2 linked regions of the Lepisosteus oculatus genome follow. The protein of the gene in region 2 interacts with the protein of the main gene of each other region in a biochemical or structural test. Links are inferred from orthologs where the notes say so. Each region holds a gene or a part of one and is shown on either strand. Other genes may lie near its edges.

Region 1 (10,282 bases), on a different chromosome or scaffold from region 2:
CGATTTCTCCCCCAAAAAGAAGCTCGTTTGTATTGATCGGGGTTTGATAAAAACCACAGGCAGTGAACAGTTGAAGGAAAGGTGGAATATCGGGTCATTGAGCCCGTTTCAATTGTTCAGTCTGGACAGGCTCCACACGAGCCCCTTATGAGCAACAGGCTTTATCAGCTCGAAAACACGACGGAGAGACAGGAAGAAGGGCCGGGTTTTGCTCTGAAGAGCTCCACCTCGCTGAGGCACAGACCCCACCCAAAAAAGCAGCTGTGTCTGGTAGCGGTCTGAAAGGGGGGTGTTTAGAGCTAGCCTCTACAGAGACGTTTCCTCACCACTAAATCGCGAACTTGACTTCCTCGAGCAGTGGAACTGCCCCAGCGTGGCCGACACGCCGCCAGGAGACACAGGCCTCAGACGACCGGCCTCAGCAGCGCGTCCTGTTCTCTCACTGCGGCCCCAGACACTGAAGAGGCCAGGAACTCCTCAGAATCAAATCGAGTGTCTTCACCTGTGTGCAGGGCCTCTTTAGTTTAGGGGGCCGCTTAATTCTTGTTTGATGGTTTTGCTGAGTGGCACAGTGGCGCAGTGGTTAGCATTGCTGGCCCTGGGCTCAATGTCTGGAGTACTGTCTGTATGGAGTTTGCATGTTCTCCAGGTGCCGCGGTTTTCACCTACAGTCCTAAAACATCCTGGTAGATGAATCGGCTTCGGGGAGGACTGGCCCTCGCGTGAGCGTGTCTGTGTGTTTGTGTCCGTGTCTGCCCTGAGATAGACTGGCGTCCCGTCCGGGGTGTAGCCTGCCTTCCGCCCATTGCATGCTGGGATAGGCTCTAACTACCCTGTGATCCTGAATCGGATAAAGTGTTTAGAAAATGGATGGATGTCTGATGTTTTGCCCAAAAGTACACATAACGCGAAAGAAAGGGCAACAGACAAGCAGGGCAGCACTGCAAAAAGACCATCCTACTGCTTGTGAGCATGACTCATGCCTACAAAAGGAAGCCAAAATGCAGCCTTTGAAAGACTGTGGTGCTAAACTGAGCAACGGTGTTCACTGAAACTGAAGGGCAGAGTGGCCTGACACGTGAACTCCGCGCCAGCCCTAATCGTGAGCCTTGGCTGGCCTGCTGACAGTGCTGAGGAGCAGTTACAGCAAATTAAAATTCAACGAATTCAAGAAACGAGGAGCTGGTTCTTTGCACAGGCAGGCTGGAGTTAGCTCGGGGGGGTGGGGGGGCAGCAGAGTCCGTTTCCCCCAGAGGAATCCAGGGCTAGCTACGGAGATGACGCCCAGCCCTCTCCTCCTGCAGCTCCGGCACACAGGGGAACATGAAAACCCACCCAGGGTTAGTGCATGGTTGGCCCGTGCTGGGCGAGTGGGGGCACGCTTGGGTTTGGCTGATGGACATCATAAGCCCTCAGTATTGCTGACAATTTACTGACTCGAGCTCTGATCGCCAGCACAGCTGAAAATAAAAATAACTGCTGGCACTCCCAGAGCTGAATCTGCAAGGTGCAATTCTCCCAAAAGCCCGCCTCCACCTTTTCTGCGTTCCTGGATCACCCAGGTGCCCGTTCTGCCGTGGAATCACTAAACCATCACCGCTGTCACACGGGTCTCCCACACGTAACGCGGATCAATGACTCCCTTTCCTCGGACTCGGTCTGCACCCGTCTTTCCTGAACTCCACGGGGCCCCCAAAGTGCCGAAGTGTCCGTTCTCTCCCGGGGCCCGGGCAGATGGTGTTGTGCCAAGCGCTGGGTCAGGAACTGGTCAGAACGGGGACTGCTGGGGTGCCAGGCTGCTAGTTAGCATCACAGCCGAGCTGTCGCGACTGTCTGTAGACTCTAACACAGGGGCTGCTTAGCACCTGCAGAAGTGCAATGACAAGGACGCAGCTCAAAAACTTAGAAAACTTGGGACTTCTTGGTCTTAAACGTCCGATTAGGGGGTGAAAATCCCACCAGGAACGAGCTCTGAACATCACCGTTTTTTTCCCAGACGTCTTCTGTAGTAAAGGCGCAGGAAGAGTAGGAAATTGCAATTTAGCTATAGCAGCTTTTACCATTCCGGACATGGGTTCTACGACAGAGATAGCGTCCAAACGCACTGCACTCATTTCTAACCCGTCCTGTATGCGCTGTGATGCCCTTTGGCTCGAGTTTGCCACACAGGGCTTTCCAGAATTATACAACAGTTAGACTCAACGCAAACCACCATGGTTCACTCAGAGAAAACGGATGATCGTTCTTCACAGCCTGACCTCTGAGTCACTGAAACTCATTTTAAACTAGCAAAGCATCTATATCTGAAGGAGTAATTTAAAACCGTATTGCCGCGGGCCAAATAATACACAGCCTGATGACTGGAATATGAAAAGAGCCGACTGTCTCCGAACACGCGGGTCAACAACAGTTTACAAAACGTGTTGTTGTTGTTGTTGTTTTTTAATTGCCTCTTGGACGGGTCGAAACGGGTCATGACAGGTAAAACAGACACTTTTTACCTCTTTCTCGGAGATGTAGAGCTGGTCGCCTTTCAGCACCACGTAACGGTTCCTCCAGATCTCCCGGAAGATCCCCCGGCCGCAGAACTTGCGGATCCAGCCGATTTTCTCCGGCTGCGAGGGCGGCTGGTTGGCGTCCGGAGGCCCCTGCATCGCAAAACACAATCAGCTGGCAGGCGAAGAGGCGAAGCCACGGGCGGCCGGACTGCGCCGAGACACCCGGAGAGGACTAGCCGACTCGCTGGCCAGCCCACCGCCTGAGTGACAGACAGACGGACGGACGCGGAAGTAGACCCGAGCCCCTCATTAAGATTCAAAGGAGCCCGCATGACGAAGACAAAAAGGCAGAGTTGACACGGGCATCTCAGTTCTTTTGTCATGCAGACGATGCGAGATTCCTGGCTCCGGCACCTCGCCGCCTCTGATTAAAACCGTGCCCGTGACCTGGAGCGGGGAATGCCACTCGCACTTCTCACGAGTGCGGGATTAGACCCACGGGAAAGAGGGGGCTACGGTGTTTCCGGGGCTCTCAGACACAGCAAACCCCCCCCCATTAACGCGTCCACACCCCCCTCTCCCCCCCCCAGTGTCTCCCTTCAGCGCACAGCGAGAGGAGCACCCCCCAGCCCAGCCTATCCCGCTCGGAAACTACAGGCAGCGGAACATCACTTCAGCGCTGTGGACCAAGTCGGTTTAATAAACGCGAAATGCCGGGGCACACTGGGCACGTCCCCGCAAGCTGAAACCCAAGGCGGCATCTCCAGTCAGATGCCCGCCGACACGCAGATCAGTTCAGACACAGACAATGTGTCACGATAATAGCCCGTATCAAGTAGCACACGCTCGGACTCCTCCAGGATCCTTCCTCGCCGCGTCCACAGAATTCGCTGACATCACCATTTCGTCCGTCCGTCCCAAACACACACACACACGCACATTTTGCAGGATTTGTCCCCCAACACCGCCTCACTCACACACACACACACTCGGAAAACGGGGGTCATAGCGTCGGAGGGGATGGGGATGAAAGAGAAACGGGGCACGGCAGTGTGGAGGAGAAGCTCACCCGCTTCGCCGAAGCGCTCTTCTTCATTTCTGGAGGTCTGTGCGTCTCTGGCGGCGGTGCCTCCGGAGTTTCCACCCCGCGGACTCGGGGTGTTATTTGTAAGCGGCGATTCCTCTGATGGAGAGAGAAGGGGAAGGGGGGTGTTCTCTCACAGGAGCAGAAACTGTGTTATGGGGGTTCTCCCCCCCCACCACCACCACCACCACTCCTCCCCGATCTCGCTCGTCGCTCTCCCCCTCGCCTGGAGCTACAGCCTCCGGTTGCCTCCCCAGTCCTCCGCCTCTCTCCTCTCGCCGCCGCCGCGCCGCCGCGCTCTCCGAGTCTCGCCCCGGGGGTCTCCGGTTACGCTGGCGGAGGCCGGATCATCACCACGCTCCCCGGCTTTGCCCTCTTCTCTGGGAAGCGCAGGCAGGTCATTGGGAATATCAACAAGCCGCTCGCAGCCGGGGTCTCCCGCTGCCGCGCTCCACAGCTCCATCTATAGCTCGGCGACGTCAACGCGTGATGTCACCGGCAAGGCAGAGCGCTCCGGAGGCGCAGGAGCCGAGGAAACGCGTGTGTGGTCACACACGGCTGAGGACGAAGCAGGGGGGAGAGTGTGTGTGTGTTGGACGAAGACGTCTCAGAAATCGCGTCAAGTTTCGTTTTATTTTTATCCCGCTATCTTTGCGCGCACACATATCCGAACAGCGACGATCGCGGTCGAGCTGAGCTGGAAGAGAGGGTTTGTGGTTGCTGTGTATTTTACAGCCTCTATCCTGTTTGTTAAACTTAACTGGGCGCGTTGAAGTGTTGAAATACATGCCCTGGCATGCCTGAGCTGGCACTCAACTGTCGCCCCTCCACCTCACGCAAACTCTCTTACTCTGTCCACTATGGTTCCTAATAAACCTCTCTAAACTTTGAAGACGTCACTGTGACACTGTGGTCACTAAGCACAACACTGTAGCGTAAAAACATGGTAGAGGATTGTGGTAAATTAAGATACGAACAAATCGCCCTGATAAAAGTGCCCTGAAGCACAGGAAATCAACAAAGTACCATGGAAGTGGTGGTTGATTTCCGGAGGCGCTTCCCGGACCCTCTCTCCCTGTTAATCTATGACGAGGCGGTGAGTGTGAAGGAGCCCTTTGTGATCTCGAATTCCCTTAAGTGGGAAATGAATATCGCCGATATCACGAAGAAAGCACAGCAGAGCGTGTACTTTTTTCTTGCTGCAGCTGAAAAACGGTGTTGTCTCTCCACTATTTCTGATACAGTTTCACAGAGCCATTACTGAGGGACTTCTGCCCGGCCTCTGTGACTGATTGGCGAGGTGAGGCAAACGGCGCAGGTCCCTGCCTGTGGCCTGCCCGTCTCCGCCTGTACGGGAGTCCAGAGCAGAGACAGGCAAGATTGCTGATGACCCTCCCCCACCCAGGTGACCACCTGTTTCAAAAAACCTCCGTCAGGAAGACAGTACCGGTCCGTCGAACCCAGAACCACCTCGAATCTGATCAGCCTCTTTCCTAGGGCTGTCCTTGTGTGCGTCCAGCATTCCCAGTGAAATGTCCCCTGTCTTAAAGATGTCTGTTGTCTTGAGCGTCTATGGAACATGTCGAATGTCTTTGCAGCAGCAAGCACACCAGAGGACAGAGATTTGTTGTACATGGAATGTACTGGGCAAATAAAGCTGATTTATTCACTTCACCTTGGGTATATGCTCAATCTAATCCCGCCATCCATTTTCTACCCAGATTCATCCAATTCAGGGTCACAGGGGAGCCGGAGCCTTTCCCAGCAAGCAACGGGCGCAAGGCAGGGTACTACATGGGCAGGACACCAGTCCATCACAAGGGTATCAGACGCACACACTCACACAGAGCAGAACTGACCGATAAGCCAGTTAACCCACCAGCGTGTCTTTGGCCTGTGGGAGGAAACCCATGCCAGCCCGCAGAGAACATGCAAACTCCACACAGACAGCACCCCAGGAATCGAACCACAGGACGTCAGGCGGCAGAGCCGACCGCTGTGCCCTGCCACTGCCCTCAATCAGAACCACAGCCGACATTTTCCTCTGTCTCACTTTTACCATCAGGTCTGCTCTCCTGGGGGGCATCTGCTTGGGGAGCTGCATCCAGAGGTGAGTGATGGTGGTCCCCCTTCTATATGTAAAGCCCTTTGGGATGAAAGGCGCTATACAAACACATAGGGGGAAGCTTTGCGGATTTGGTCATCACTGGGAATTGTCAAGAGAGGGGCGGACTCCATTTGGGCACAGCATTATTAATATTATTATTATCATCTTAAATTAATTATTTAACCTCCCCCCCCTTTATTAGCTCTGCTTGTTTTGGGAATTCAAGAGACTAAAAAAAACTCCAAGAGTGGGACTGAACCAGCCCTGTGCTGATCCAGGCACGGACAAACGTCCCAGAGAAGGATTGCCCAGGTGTGTTGGGGAAAAAAGGGAACAAGTCTGGGGTGCTCATTTTAATCTGGCTGGCCCCGGCCCGCGGGCATATGCGCCTCAGCCTGCGTGAAGGCTGTTTTCCGGGCTGCTGGTTCACCCTCTGTGTGGCTCAATCCAGGAAACAAACAGCGCCGCCGGGCTATTTTCAGAAACGAAAGGCGTTTCGGTGGAACACCGGTTCTATTTCTGCGCGGGGTCTGAGAGGGATAAACACAGATCATTCCACCCGCCCGCCGTGTTCGCGACAACACAGACGGTTTTGGACTTTTCCAGACAGGGAGAGGGAGAGCCCAACAAACCTTTCTCCTGTAATCGACGGGGGCAGCACTGGGCAGTAGCACCATGAGTTTCGCCAAAAGCCGGGCGTGCTTCAGCTTAGACCTGTGTTTTGTGTGAGCGCGTGTGCGTCTGTGTTTGGCGGTGGCGTAATAGGGGACACACTGAAAAGGGACACAGGCCGAGCTGCACAGTATCCTGGATCAAAAGCTATTAAAGGCCTTTGCGGTCTGGCTTGCACTCAGTGAAAATGTTTGTCCATTAAGAGAATAACACATCCTGCGTGCGTGCTCCCCTTTAGATGTTGTTGTTGTTGTTGTTGTTGTTGCACTCAGACGCGATTAGCTTGTCGGGGCGTCTGGGGGAGGGGGTTAATGGCATAATCGATATCCGAATGAGCCAGGCCCCGAGAGGAGCACAGTGCGCAGACCCCAGGCGGATTCTAATGCATCAGCCCCCTGGAAGCTAGCCTGCTGCTGAGCCCTACCTCCCCGTGGTCTGGGGGTCTTAATAAAGACAACCGTTTCGGAGCTGCTCATGCATCTCCAGTGAAACTAGAGAGGAAACGGTTATTTTCCTTCGTTGGAAAAGGTGGGAAAAGCCATCCCAGATCGGGTATTCCTCTCTCTCTCTCTCCCAAGTGCGGGAGTGCTTTCTTCAGTGCGAAGGGCAGAACGTGACTCACAGGAAGCCAAACCGTGGCTCTTTTCAGTAGGTGAAAACAACAGACCCGTGACAGGACATGTTTCTATCTTGAACGAGGCGGTCTGTCAGGTAAAAAAGATTTTCCCTTCCCTCTTCTGCACAACATGGGGAAGCAAAACAACAAAGCAACCAGAGGTCTGACTACTGGCAGAGTTAAAAGCGTGCTTAGATCAGAGGAAGTTACGCTGCATTTTGTACAATGCATTCATGAGAGCTCATTTGGTATACTGCATATCACTTTGACTATTGCATTACAAAGAAGATATGACTGCTCATGAATCAGTCCCAGGAGGAGCATATGACAGGCACAGTCTAGGTTCTAAAGGAATGTCTTACAATGACTGTTCATTAACTATTGATCTGGAATCAGGGCAGCACGATGACTACGGGGTGCTCTTTCTGTGGAGTTTGTATGTTTTCCTGATGTTCGCATGGGTTTCCTCCCACAGACCACAGACATGCTGGCAGGCTCATTGGTTTCTGGGTCCTGGTGTGACTGTGTGCGTGTGTTTGCCCTGGTGCTGGACTGGCGTCCCATCCCGGGTGTACCCTGCGGTGCACCCACTGCTTGCTGAGATTCACTCCAGCTCCCCCGCGACCCTGAACTGGAGCAGTTCAAAACATGGGTGGATAAACTCGAACCAACAGTTCACAATGGCAAAATCACTCCGATGCATTTTTTTTCACAATCATGGTGAAGCACGAGCCATAGCACACAGGTGTAAACTACGGGAGCGTGCCCTTAAGACTGAGACCAAATGGCACGTCCTTACACAAAGGGTGGTGGGAGCATGGAACGAGCCGGCCATGTCGTGCTGTTGCAGCTGATGGCATGGGATCCTTCAAGAAACAGCTGATACTGTCTGATCAATTAGATCTCGAAGGAACGAATTAGAGACATCAGCAAACCAGAACCCACAGAGAAAACCATGCCAGCACAGAAGGTACTCCAAACCACAACCAAACCCAGGAGCCAGGAGCCCTGAAACCGTAGCACTGACCTCCAGGCCCCCTGACATTGTGTTTCGCAAGCAAGATATAAAATGTGTCCACAGAGACAGCCAAAACAATTGAAAAACAGGTACAAAAACTGGAACCATCCAGATGTAGCTCTGTGCTACAGAGTAACTAAAATGAGATTAAAAAGGAAGTGAGCACATGGAAAACACAACACAGAGATGCACCACAAAACCACAAATAACAAAGAACAGGAGAAACACATTTGGCTTCACTCTTATTTCAGCGTGCTCTGTGAGTTAGGGTTTGTGTCCTGTCTAGCGTGTGAAGCATAAAGTCAGAAGCCCCGACTCTTTCTTAGACCGAAATGCTCATTTGAGACCTACAAAAAGCAAGAAACCACCTGACTGCCAGTTCACCGGCGCTCAGATGATCACTTCAGAGCCTCCTGCCCCACAAGAGCGAAGCAGAGTGAAGGCCGTTAGAGGGAAGTGAATGCTGAACTGAAAACAGGAAGCCCTCTATTACAAAAGGTTGCAGGTCACCAGGTTAGAGAAGACACGTAGCTGCTCTGGAGTCTGTCCAGACGAGCTTAACAGGAGGCAATCTGGGGTTTAAAGGAACGGCCTTCACCGATTGCTGAAAAAACACATCTTTCTTTTGAGGACCGAGGGAGTGAGGAACGAGCTGCCCAGCTATGGTGTTGAAGCCGATGCCCTGGAAACAGCTGGGTGAGATTACTGGATTAAAAGGGAGTTGACTGCCTATCAGGCTAACTGGGATAAATGGCATCTCCATGACTGTAATTCTTCTTATGTTGTTTTACACTACAGGCAGGCCCTCTGAGAGTTCAGATGAAGCCCGGGGGCCATTTCACATTGTGAGGCCCCCCTCATGGTTTGGGGAGAGGGGTACAGAAATATTTGAATGTCAAGAATGACATGTAAACACCTGGAGGAAACTGGAAAGGTCTTGGCTATTGGAATTGAATGGTGAATCTGGCCGCCTCACAAAAGCTGGCCTGATTGGTGAAACACGCTGTCACTCATTTTATTTTCAGCCATTCAGAGCCATTTAGGGGATGGGACTTCCTCTGGGAGCCTTTGGCTGCCTCCTACCTGCGTGCCAGCTGTCAATTATTCCCAAATTCGAGACACACAGCCAAAGTGATAAATTAGGGGACCACGCACCCTTGGGTGAGGTGAGGCCCCCCTGTGAGGTGAGGCCCGGGGCCAAATGGCCCTGCTGGCCCCCCATCTCGTAGGACCTGACCACAAGACACCATTATCATTCACCAGGGTGGCAATATTCCTAATCACATCCCAGACCCTGACCCTTCATACTGTACATATCATCAGGTATATCCAGCTGCATAGCAGAGGTGCCAACAGCAGCAGTAAGACTAAGCCCTGCTGCAGCTCCACAAACAGCACGAGCAGATCACGCCGAGCTGGATACGGAGCAAGAAACTCAAACAAGTTGCGAAAAGGGCAGGGCTCCAGATGCAAAGTTACGTCCTCCCTGTATTGCCCCAGATGCGAAATATGCTTTTGCAAGGAGGTGAAAAACCATCGCACACCGATACGTTTAAAACGAACAACTAAGAAACATACACCTGAAATTTGAATCGTCCTCAGACTCCAGAAATAGATGAATGAAGGAGTTGGCTCATCAGTGAGTGGGATAATAAGATACATCCGTGATGAAAATAAAATATATTTATCTATTACTTGATCCAGATGAGCAGGTTGATAACCAGTGGGAATAAAACATAACCTCTCGCATTCTAACCTAACCATCATAACCTATAGAAAGGTAAGCTATTGCACTGGATTTTGGGTAGTCAAAATCAACACCCTTTTACTGAGCAAGGGGTGGTCACAACAGTCAGTGATTATACGAGCCTTCTGTAATTATGCAATATCCCAACCCCCGCAAATTCTCCTCCCACCCCTCTGTGGTCACTCAGCTCTGACAGCAGACCACTGACCTTTCTGTCCTGTCTCCTGGCGCGTTGTGTGGGACGTCCCACGTGAATCTCCCCTTCCTTCTCTCTGCGCCCTCTTCCTTATCTGCGTTTTCTTGCCCCAGACGCTACGAAGACATTTCAGTTTCGCAATAAAAGCCCAAGACGCCTTTCCAAACCCGTGTTGTCATCACACTTCAGCACATGTTCCGTTACATGTTCTGAGAAAATGTTTTTCGCCACAGAGAGGTCTTCAGTAAATATGCAGCTCACATACTTAGACCTAGTATAGGTCTGATTTCTCTGGATATTTTTGGGCTTGATTTTCAAACATTTGCACAAACATAAACCCAAAG
Region 2 (10,627 bases):
ATCTCTCCTGGCATCTGTGTCTTTCTAAAGAATTCAGCCTGTGCAGTGCATGAACTGTCAGGACCTATCCGGCATCACAAAAGGGGTCCTTGCTGAAAAAGGCTGCAGACATTGTTTTTGTTTCCATTAACAATACACTACGAGCACTGGCTCAATGGAAATTGTGTTAAATGGCAACCTAACAGCACATCATAAAGCAATAAGAAGTGAGAAACAACAACTGAGACTGAGCACTCTTGACTGAAGACAACTGTCTTTGCACAAGCTAATCAAGTTAATACTGTTCTAGTGCTACCGATTAAAATGTCACATGGCAAGAAATCAGACGTAAAAAGCAAAACTTTAGTTTTTTTCATCATCTAAACGTTTACTGAATTACAGAGGACAGTTGTTTGTTATGCAAAATTCCAGCTAACAACATCAGAAGATCGCTTGATTGGCCATATACAATTTCTTGTAGGCTCTCATTTTCCACCAGATTTGTAACCGCATATAAAACAATATAAATTACAGAAAAAAAATTCAAGGTGCGCACAAAAAAAAAAATCACACCAAACTGTGTGACCCTTGTGAATCCCCTCACATAAATCAGGATATATTTTATAACCTTCTCCCTGCAACTTAAATTTTGTATCCCTCCTGTGTGCATTATTCCTAGCTCTTAAAAAAGGATTTCAGCACTTAAAAAACTCCCTTTCGCAGTTTCAGCAAGACTGTAATTGAAGTCATTTGCACAGGCTTTTACAATGCTAAATGCAACATTACTTGCAGGCCATGCGATGCATAAATTTAAATTTAAACCCCTTACAAGCCTGCCTTCGAATTTTATGTTATGCAGATGTATATAATTAAAAAGCACAACAATAAAGTTGGACTATATGAAGCAAATTCATGCTTGGATATTTGCATTCCCCCCAAAATAACTCCTTAACAGTGATGAACAAAAGCTGTCCGCAGAATGTTAATCTTAAAAATGACTAGGCTACAAAAAAATTCAATGTACGGTAAATGTTCAGTTCAGAATCTAGGGGTTTAACAAGGGGTATTGTAACATTTAGTCTAACAGACTAAACCGACCCTCCTGGGCAACATTTCCCAGAACAAGGTCTGGACTGATGAGGCAAAATAACTGGGAGACTAAACACTGCAGCAGCCAGTGTAATGGCTTCATGCTCATTGTTACATGACACTCCAGACATTCCACAGCCAATTAGAATTCCTTTCATCTGCTCGGGGGGGTTGAACACAGCTGGAACTGATGGATTAGTCTAGATCCCTACAACACTTATGAAGTGTGATGTTTGCATTGCTAGGAACAGGAATTCTGCATATTTCAACACAATAAAATAGCATTGCTCAAAACAGCCACAGAACATCTATGTGTTAAGAATCACTAAGAATTTATTTCAGAAGAAAAAAATATTTCAAGAGTGGCCTAACTAAAGTAAAGCAGAAGAATAATCGATAATGCATGCAAAGCATTGAGATCTTACAGTTCTTCCATGCGTTAAAACTTAAAATACATTTAATAGATGTTAATTATTGTACATTTCACATGTTACAACTGCCTTGAGATCTTACCAAAGAGTCATAGCCAAGTCACCTAATCTTGCCTCACCACATTCAAACCCTGGCTCTTATACTCTAGCTTTTAAATGCTGTTGAATGTACCTTTTTAATACACTCTGTTGATTGTTGTTTTGGTTGCTATTGCACATTACATCAAGACAGTTGAGAGTTGCAACATGAAGATTATTAAATCCTGTAAAATCAAAGAACCAAAAATTAATTAAAACTGGCACACAAGGTCCATACCATTAACACACTTCTGAAATAAAAACCGCTCTATTAAAAAGCCGAGATTACTTTTATTCAGTAATTTTCATTAAAGCGTTTAATTTCCATTTTCAAATCGTCGTGAAGACTGAAGAATGGAAATGGCTGTAACTGTAAATAGTGTGGATCTTTCCAGCCCTTGCAATTTCACAATCTGCCTCCCATTGACCGGCACACATTGTGCTCCTCAAAAACAACAACAAAATCACAGCCATTTCAGGAACTATTCACCCATGAACTCTTGTAAGGTCAGCTGAAGAAACAAGAGCCACGGTCTGATGAGGGAACAATATTTCTATCAAACAGCTTGGGCACTTAATACTTAACCAATTACTTATTACTAAACTCAAATGACATTATTGCAAGATTTAAAAACAAATAAACATCCCCATGAAAGGTTGCCCCTGTGTAACACTGGTAAACTATGACAAAGAATCATTTAATCTAATTTTAGATTGTAAAATCAAAATGTAACTGTAGCTAGACATAAAAGCCTCTTCCTATTAGACTAAGTCAAAGATACTTAAAACAAATTAAATAACACTATCTTCTCTCCATACAGGGGTATGGGAACAATGGAATTCAGAATTTATTCGAAGTTGTCACTCTCCAAAGGTGTTTTTGTCTCCACTTCGGCAATTAAAAAATCAATTTACAGACGGCGCTTTTTACAGCTCTTTACACAAATAGCTTCAGTAACGTACTAACGACTAGAAACTTGAATGCTCTGCTGAAAGTTTGATTGAGGTTATAGTAGAAGCTGCAGTACAACATAATCCAGAAACAACCCATGTCTTTCATAGGTACTGTGTGACTGAAAGCTCTAGGCCTATACAGCAACCAATGGTCTTCTGTGTAAATGAATAATGTATAATGATGAATGGTGAATGTGAATGGTGAAATACACACACTTCTTAACTTGGATATCTTTGATCGAGTACAGCATTTTTGTTTTTCATCTTTCATATGACAAAGTAATGGTGACATTAGGAGGCTACAATACAGCCTATACTTTGCTTCGAGAAACAACTTCATGATTCTTACTGTAAAGCCAGTTTACTGCATCATTGTCAATCACAAACCGGCCATCAAAACAATTCAAGCTAAAGTACAAGATGGGCTGACAGTTCTATATTTGTGACCAAAAGATAAAATGACGACAAACAAAATGAATGCTCCATCAGCCCCAATACCCGTGAACTTTTAAGTTATCAGCTGGACAGTTACATTCTCCACCCCTGTCGCTGGATCTAGACAGAAAACAAAGAGTCAACCCGACAAGCAAAGCTAAACCATAAAACGCTTTGGGTTTTACGATTAACATTTTTTTGCCCCTAATACGCCCCAGTTTGCAGGCCAAGTCTGTCCGGGTTAAGAGTGCACTACATGAACCTATGGGATTTTTCATGCCTCACATTAACACTCCACGCAGACCGTAACAAAATTCTAACGCACTTTGTCAGATTCTAAAAGACAAACAATTAAAATAATAATGAGAATCTGAATCTCGGGTTCATGGCCGCAAGCTTCGCAGTTTGCATAGCAATGGTAGCAACTACCCACGTAGAGGAAAACGGCAGTGTAGTCTGTAAGAGTCTTTCACATGTACTGTAGCTGAAGGGCCCATAAAACAGCGATTAAACCCCATTCAGATTCCAGTACTAGTAGACAGTGCTGACACCCTCCGGACCCACAGGAACAGAAGACTGGTGCATTGACCATAGCTTCTCTACAGCACCTCAGCCCTAGTAATCCGTTCGGGGAAAAATGCGCCGACAATCGGGAATATATCTAATTTGGAGAACAATAAGACCGATTTACTTGGCCACAGATTTCTGTTAAGTGGAACTGAATGGGCATGGTCTCTGTTTTAGTCAGGCTGCAAAGCTGACAGGCCTAGATCATACACATGTATGTACAGTGCAGACACACACTTCACACAAAAGCAGGCTGCCAGGTCTGAGCGTCAGCTTGTTGCCTCCGTCTCGGCAGTTCCGAGTTTGAACTAGTCCTGCAAATCATTCACCGCTCTGCACAGCAGGGCTGATCCGGTTCCGATCCCGGCTCTGCCAGAGCAGCTTCCTCCCCGGAGCGAAATCAGTCAAGCACTTCGAAAATTAAAAGGACAGACGGGTTAGCAGGCGCTCTAATCAGGCAGGAAGGAAGCGACATCACCGCCCGAGTGCGCCTGTGCACAGTGTGTCCCTTCCATTTATTTACAGACAGCAGAATACATTGCAAAGGCAAATGACAGCATTAAAGCGGAAACGATCATAAATGCAAGGTGTTCACGATATGCAACTGATGCTGATGTCCAGCAAAAATGCATAAAAGTTACAAAAAAAAGGTTTGTAAGAGGCCGATGTAAATGTGATCCTGGGCCGTGTGCACCTACATCCCGTGCACAGATCGTTTGTTTGCAAGTCCTTATTGTACAAATGAATTCTGCCAAATCGCAGGAAACAAAAAAGTGGGCCAACCTCGTCAACAGCAGATCCCAGCAAGCCTGGTTCATCGCCAATGGTAGAGAAATTACCAGGTCTACGGCTATTTCACCTCGGTTGGTGCAGCAAGGGGTCTGCCCACAAAAGGCTTCCAATGAAAAACACCCGGCTTCTTCACCCACAACTAGGGTGTATGGCATTAAAAGTGGAGGTGCCGGACTTAAAAGACAAAACTGCAACACAAACCCCTAACAACAATGGTGTTTTTGCTTACCTGTCAGTCGGATTTTGATGCTAGACCCGTTCCTCCGAGTCCCAGGATTCGACATCACTCCGGAAAAGAAATAGCTAACTTTCCCTTAGGTCTGACCTAAGATTAAAACTTCACCACGAAGCTAGACTGTCGGGAAAAACAAAATACACCAAAACGGTGTTTCTAGAATGGCTTATCAAGGGTATATTTTTATTATTTCCTTCTCGGAAAATCCCCCAAAGCTCCCAGCTCGCATAACGCTCCTAAACATTTTCGAGCTCAAAGGCGTTCTGACGTCAGCGCAGCACGGCGGGACGTGCACGCACACGACTGTGGCGTCGAGGTGTCAGAGCGGTCCCGACTGCTCGGGACAGGGGGAGGCAGGGGCTGGATGACAAAGGAAAAGCGAGGAAAGGGGTCGTGTCCGTCTACTTCTTAAGAGAGAGGCGGCGCCCCCCAAGCTTGGTGTGTTTGCATTGTAAAAATCTCAATGTCAATGCCATGCCTAACAGTAAGTAGGCGTACTCACACGAACGCAACTACCTTTGTGCAGAAATGGGATGTGTGCCTCAATACGTTTAAATTGGCGTTTTACAACATTTCGGAGTATATGGAAAATGCATAGCTACATGTGTGGATTATGGGGGAAATTAATTTCCTAACTTTGGTTAACACGCCAGAATCCATTTCAAAGGGCGATAAGTAGATTTCCAAAACGTCTCATGTTTTTAGTTAGTACAAGAATACGTCTTGTGCTGTACAAAATGGAAACGTCCCATACACAATGACATCCGAAATATTTGTGTTACATGAATTATAGTCGTTTTAACGTGTTGTAAATTAAGTGTGTTCTGTATGACATCCTGGATCGACTTTCTCTTAATGTGATACCACTCTTGATGACTGCTTGGATTATTTTAATAGTCTTAGTTTTGATGTTTAAAATACTAAATACCCTAATATGCTTTTGTTTAAATATATATATATATTAAGAATTATTGAATTTAATATACTGAAATTCGCTACAGTCCAAAAAATGTTACGCACCCGTTATAATTGAGTAATGCAAATATTTCTTTAAGAAGTATTTAACGTCCTTAACCTGCCCGTCAGTACACTCATAAACATCTTTACCAAATACTATTGACTCAGCTGTTGTGAAAATTCGACGCCCTTAAGGATTTACAAATTGTATGCAGCAGGACAGCCGTATTTAATGTCAAGATGATGATACATTAATTTATTTCGGGGATCAGCTTCATAGCGTTTTTCAATTAAACTTATTTAACTACATAAAGTACATATAGAGGTCAATTTAAATAGCTTTATTTAATATAGATTTGCATCTTAATATTCACAAAGAGTAAACCAGCTCTTAAAGAATAATGTGATTTAGGAAATAATAGTTTACTGAAAACCATGTTTCATCCACATCAAAATGTACTTAGTGTAGTATAAGATTCTCAAGTACAAGATTTTTTTTAAAAAAGTTTGACATCTGCATTTGTTATATAATTGTATTGAATCCACAAACAAGTGAACCCCTGTATGTAATGAAAAAGTCTTAAAACATAAAAAGACATTCATATCCTCATTTGTAAAAGTATAATATTCCACACCATATTGGCAAACAAAATTTTGAGTGGGGATTTCTTTTAAATATTTTTTTAAAAATATCCAAGTTTCTTTCTCAAGTCAAATAAAATCACTTGCACCCACCTTCCAGCTAATTGATACCAGACACAAAGCAGGTTCTCATCAGGCTAAAACATTCTTTACAAGCTGTTGGGAAAGGGCATGTGAGTGCACCTACAGTAAAGAAACTTTTTAAATAACTGTGACTCATTTCCTGTCCAAAAACAGAATTATAATGGCGCATAACTTTGGTATCCGGCCTGCAGAAAGTCTGGTCATATGCTGATGTACAGTAGTTCTTTCAGTGAGTTTTTGATTTTGTGAAAGCACGCACCCAGTTTAATTTGGGCAATACACAAGACGACTACAGTTCCTGCCTGGTGGGACTGCTCCAGGCCCAGCGATCTGCAACAGTGTGCAAGACCATGGCAACTTGTAGAATCCCCATTACATGCTAATTGTTGCTGGCTGGTAGCCTGTTTCAGTGTAGCTCTATGGGATGCGTCTTGCAGTAGCTTTCATGGAAGAATCTTATGTAAAGTTCGGCTGCAAAAATGAGTTAAGTGACTGCTCCCCTATCAATTTAAAGGTGTTCTCCTAATTATATTGATAATTTTGTGGTATAACCACCTACATAATCTAAACACTGCAACTTATTTTTTTCCAGTCAAGCTCATCTATTGGTTAAACCAAAATAATGTGAACATCAAGGTTTTTCTGCTACTCGTCACTTCAATTTATGGAATTATTTTAGTAAACTAAATTAAATGCCTGATCTCAATCACTTGTCAGTCTTGATGAGTTATTTCACTTCCATGACTCATAACATGATTAAATGAGAAATGAGAATCTCCTCCATGAAGCACCTGCTCAAAAGGAATTTCGTAAAAAGAATTCTAAACAATAGTAAATCATTCCCTTATTCTCGCCTTAAGCTACACCATAAAACTTAAGAGTCTTGCTGGCAAGACATGAATCCTAAACACCATGCCATTGCAGATAGTTACTACATTCATAAAGCCACAGAGGAACAAAATGGCGTCTTTGACCTACATAATTAAAATGTAAAAATGTGCAACTAAAGAGTTAAGGGCATTTTATTTATCAACAGGTTGAGCTTCATTGTGGATTGCAAAGAATTAGCTATCAATGAAACAAAGGCTTCCTCTGACAAAATGTACAGGGAAACAATCCCCACAAGACAAACAAGGATTCTGACTGCCATACTGCCTGTGGTTCAAACACCGGTCAAGGTTTTAAACATTACTGCATTCTTTAGGAATCGTGAGAACCACATTCCACAAAATTAACCATATTTGAAAAATATTTAATTGGAAGAACTATACAAGCACATAGATCAGAATGAAAAAACACACATCCTCAGTATTTACAAATGAGTTGCAAAGAATAGATTGTATACATTTAGGTCACATGGAAAATGAAAAACAAAAATGCACATCTTTCTGATATCCAATTGCAAAATGCTCCCAAGTACTATATTTGCAAGGCTACAAACGCAATTGGAAAAGAGTAATCAAGCATACTCTATACTTAAACACATGGTTTCTGCATTTTACAAATTTGCATAGCTGGCCATAGATGTCTACTTGTTTATTTACAAATCCAGGCCAGAGCAGAAGCAAACCTACACACTCTAACCATATGTTCACTGAGCAAGATAACTTACTCGCAACACAGTCATTCAATTCAACATGTATTCAACTGTATCTGTCAAAAACATACATATAGAAGATACATGAAATATATAACAGGAATATGATTTTGCAGAACCAATACAATTTTAAAACTCATTGAAACCAGTGAGCATTTAGCAGTACATGTTCTAGATCAAGTAGTTTCCATTGCATAAACATCTGAGCTAATACAAAAAAAAACAGCATAAATTAGTCTCAAGTTAATGACACAGATGGATATATAGGAGCATTCCAAAGTAATACAATGGACTGGAAATAGGTTAAACAGAAAAAATGTAAAGAGATTGGATTACCCAACAATCAATCCAAGTCATATATATAGTATGCTGTATTGTATACAGTAGGAGGACCAAGGAGGTTTGAGGAAGAGATCCATATGTGGCACTATTGCCAAAGACATGCAGGCTGTCAGCACACATTATAGAATTGTATATAGGGGAAATATTTTTAATTGTATGACCCATTGTTAATCAGATATTGCATGAATGTAGAGTTTTAATCAATGCAAGTGCTTTAAAACACTGGGGATGTTTACCTTATTTCAAACTAACATTTCTCCCTTATTGTTCTAGTAATTACATTTACATAACCATAATTTGGAATTACCATGTGACCCATTTTACAGCTTCACAGTAAAGCCCCAATTGCATTACCATGTTAGACAAATTAGTACCGATTGGACAAGCACCTTTCAGTGAGGTAACCATTATCTTGAAGGTCCGTGTAGTCCCTTTGGCAGAAAGTCCAGAGCACCCTCACCATCTAATCCCAGCCCTCCCCCTTTAATATCCTGTCTGATTTGCTCTAGTGGTTCTGTTTGTTCAGAGGATTTGGATGAGATACAGAGTTTTTCCCCCAACCAGTATATTTGGAGCAGAGAAGCCAGACTGTGTTCCAAGATTACACCTTTGTAACTTGAGTCACTCTGGAGTTCCTCAAATCAAAATCGGAGTGTGAATAGATCCTGAAGAGAGTCAGGTGAAAATTCAGTTGCTACCTTTAAATTCTTAGGTGTCATCTATGCTTATTCCTTCAGGTATCCACATGGAAGGAAAATGGGCTTCTCTTAAAACAGAATTCAGATCAGGCGACATGGAAGTAATCCCACACATCAGGAATGGTAAAACACTTCCTGCAGTACCACATGTGAAGGTGAGGCTACTCAAAGTCTTACTGGGAATTTGAAAGCTTTCTCAGGTCTGCATTTTAATAGGTAGCCAGGATAGTCTTTCCATTGAGCAAGATGAACATTCCAGTTTGCCGAAGTGGAAGCTATCATACAACCTCTAAATGCAACTATTTAACCAGAATTCTCACTTCCAGAAATTTCTCAAGCATATCATAGTCTTCTTTTTAAGACAACTTGCATTATGAGGGATTTAAATAGCTTCACATATTTCACCTGATTTCTATCATGCAGAAATGTTAGTATTCTGAAAACCAGATCCCAGAGGATACAAATGCAATACTTTGCATTTCTTTTCCACATCGATAAAAGGATGTGGAATTTGGGTTACTAGTTAACTCCATGCCTATGTAACTCAGAAAATCACTTTTTGGGAATTCAACAGGATGGTTACACTTAAACTTTAATACCTTACTAATTTATGCATTAAGACATTTAGCCATGTTACCATTTAACAGAGCTTAGTGTTTAATAGCAAAGTCTTGCCAAGGTCTACAAGTTAAAAGACCTACAGTCAGTCATCCATTTTACTGAAAAACCACAACATGGAAGAAGCATGCCCACTATGCGAGCCATGATGGATACTAGGTTTTCATGTGGACAAGAAGATAGGATTTAGAAACACTTGATACTGTTAAACATGCATTTCAAAAATATTTTATTATCCATTTACTTAGAATGCAATAATTCACACAATACAAAGATATGGAGAGTAAAAAAGAAAAAAAAAACTTGTTCTACACCTTTTTTTCACCCCCAATGCCATTTAAGAGGAAAAGGGCTTAAGGTTCTGAAGGGTGAAGTTCAGAAATTAAATTTTTTATCCACCTCCTGTGGCTGGAAAATGTAACTGCTTTTGGTGGCTTCCGTTTTCAGGCATTCCACATCCGACTCCTAGGTTTAAGATTTTCACAAGATGAGAAATGGGTCACGGCAGAAGGAAAGGTTTAGTCTACAGGTCAACATTTCACAATGTTCTATACAGCCCTCTAGTGTTACCCAATTATAATCATCCTTGCATGACTGGTAGAGATGAATAACACCCATAATTTAGAACCCACTAAGTTTTTAGCCCTATACAATTTTTGTATATGTAGTCTTTTAGGTTTTGACATTTTCCATTTCTAAGATTAGTCTCAGACAGTTTTCATTAATCTGATCATGTAAACAATCCTTTAAATAGTGTAAATCACCCAAATGTGCTGATTCAATGCAGTAATCCATGTATGGATTATAACTACATTCCAAGTAGACAAAAGGACTAAGCATGTCTGGGGTTAGGACTTGCCTCTCTCCAGAGCAAACCACACACGCTCATTAAGAAGGCAGGTGTTACGTACAGTTGGATCCTTCTGCAGACTTTGAAGAATATAAAGCTGGCTTTTGGGGTTCAAAATAATCCTGTTAGGAGCATCTTTAATAGCTGCTACATTGGAACAAAGGTTTTGATATTTCAGGCAAAATTCTACTTACATTTCCTTGCAAAGTAAGGAAAATCAAAAGGTATATTATGAAGAGTATCAGTTAGGGTCTCTTGCTCCCTCCCCAAGGACAAAGT

What was found. The genes of interacting proteins can lie anywhere in the genome.
Region 1: the proteins of smurf1 (region 2) and plekho1b form a complex in vitro, tested with the Homo sapiens proteins (4 studies listed by BioGRID and IntAct). The link is inferred for Lepisosteus oculatus from reciprocal best matches to the Homo sapiens genes SMURF1 and PLEKHO1.

Annotation. Positions count from the first base shown.
Region 1 is NC_090722.1:3,808,089-3,818,370, forward strand, and holds the start of plekho1b (pleckstrin homology domain-containing family O member 1b), read right to left. Parts: upstream 4,155-10,282; 5' UTR 3,595-4,154; coding exon 3,568-3,594; intron 2,649-3,567; coding exon 2,502-2,648; intron 1-2,501. UniProt on the Homo sapiens protein: Plays a role in the regulation of the actin cytoskeleton through its interactions with actin capping protein (CP).
Region 2 is NC_090714.1:10,266,297-10,276,923, reverse strand, and holds the start of smurf1 (E3 ubiquitin-protein ligase SMURF1), read right to left. Parts: upstream 4,835-10,627; 5' UTR 4,610-4,834; coding exon 4,555-4,609; intron 1-4,554. Other genes in the region: kpna7 (importin subunit alpha-8), read right to left, coding at 9,874-9,963. UniProt on the Homo sapiens protein: E3 ubiquitin-protein ligase that acts as a negative regulator of BMP signaling pathway. Mediates ubiquitination and degradation of SMAD1 and SMAD5, 2 receptor-regulated SMADs specific for the BMP pathway.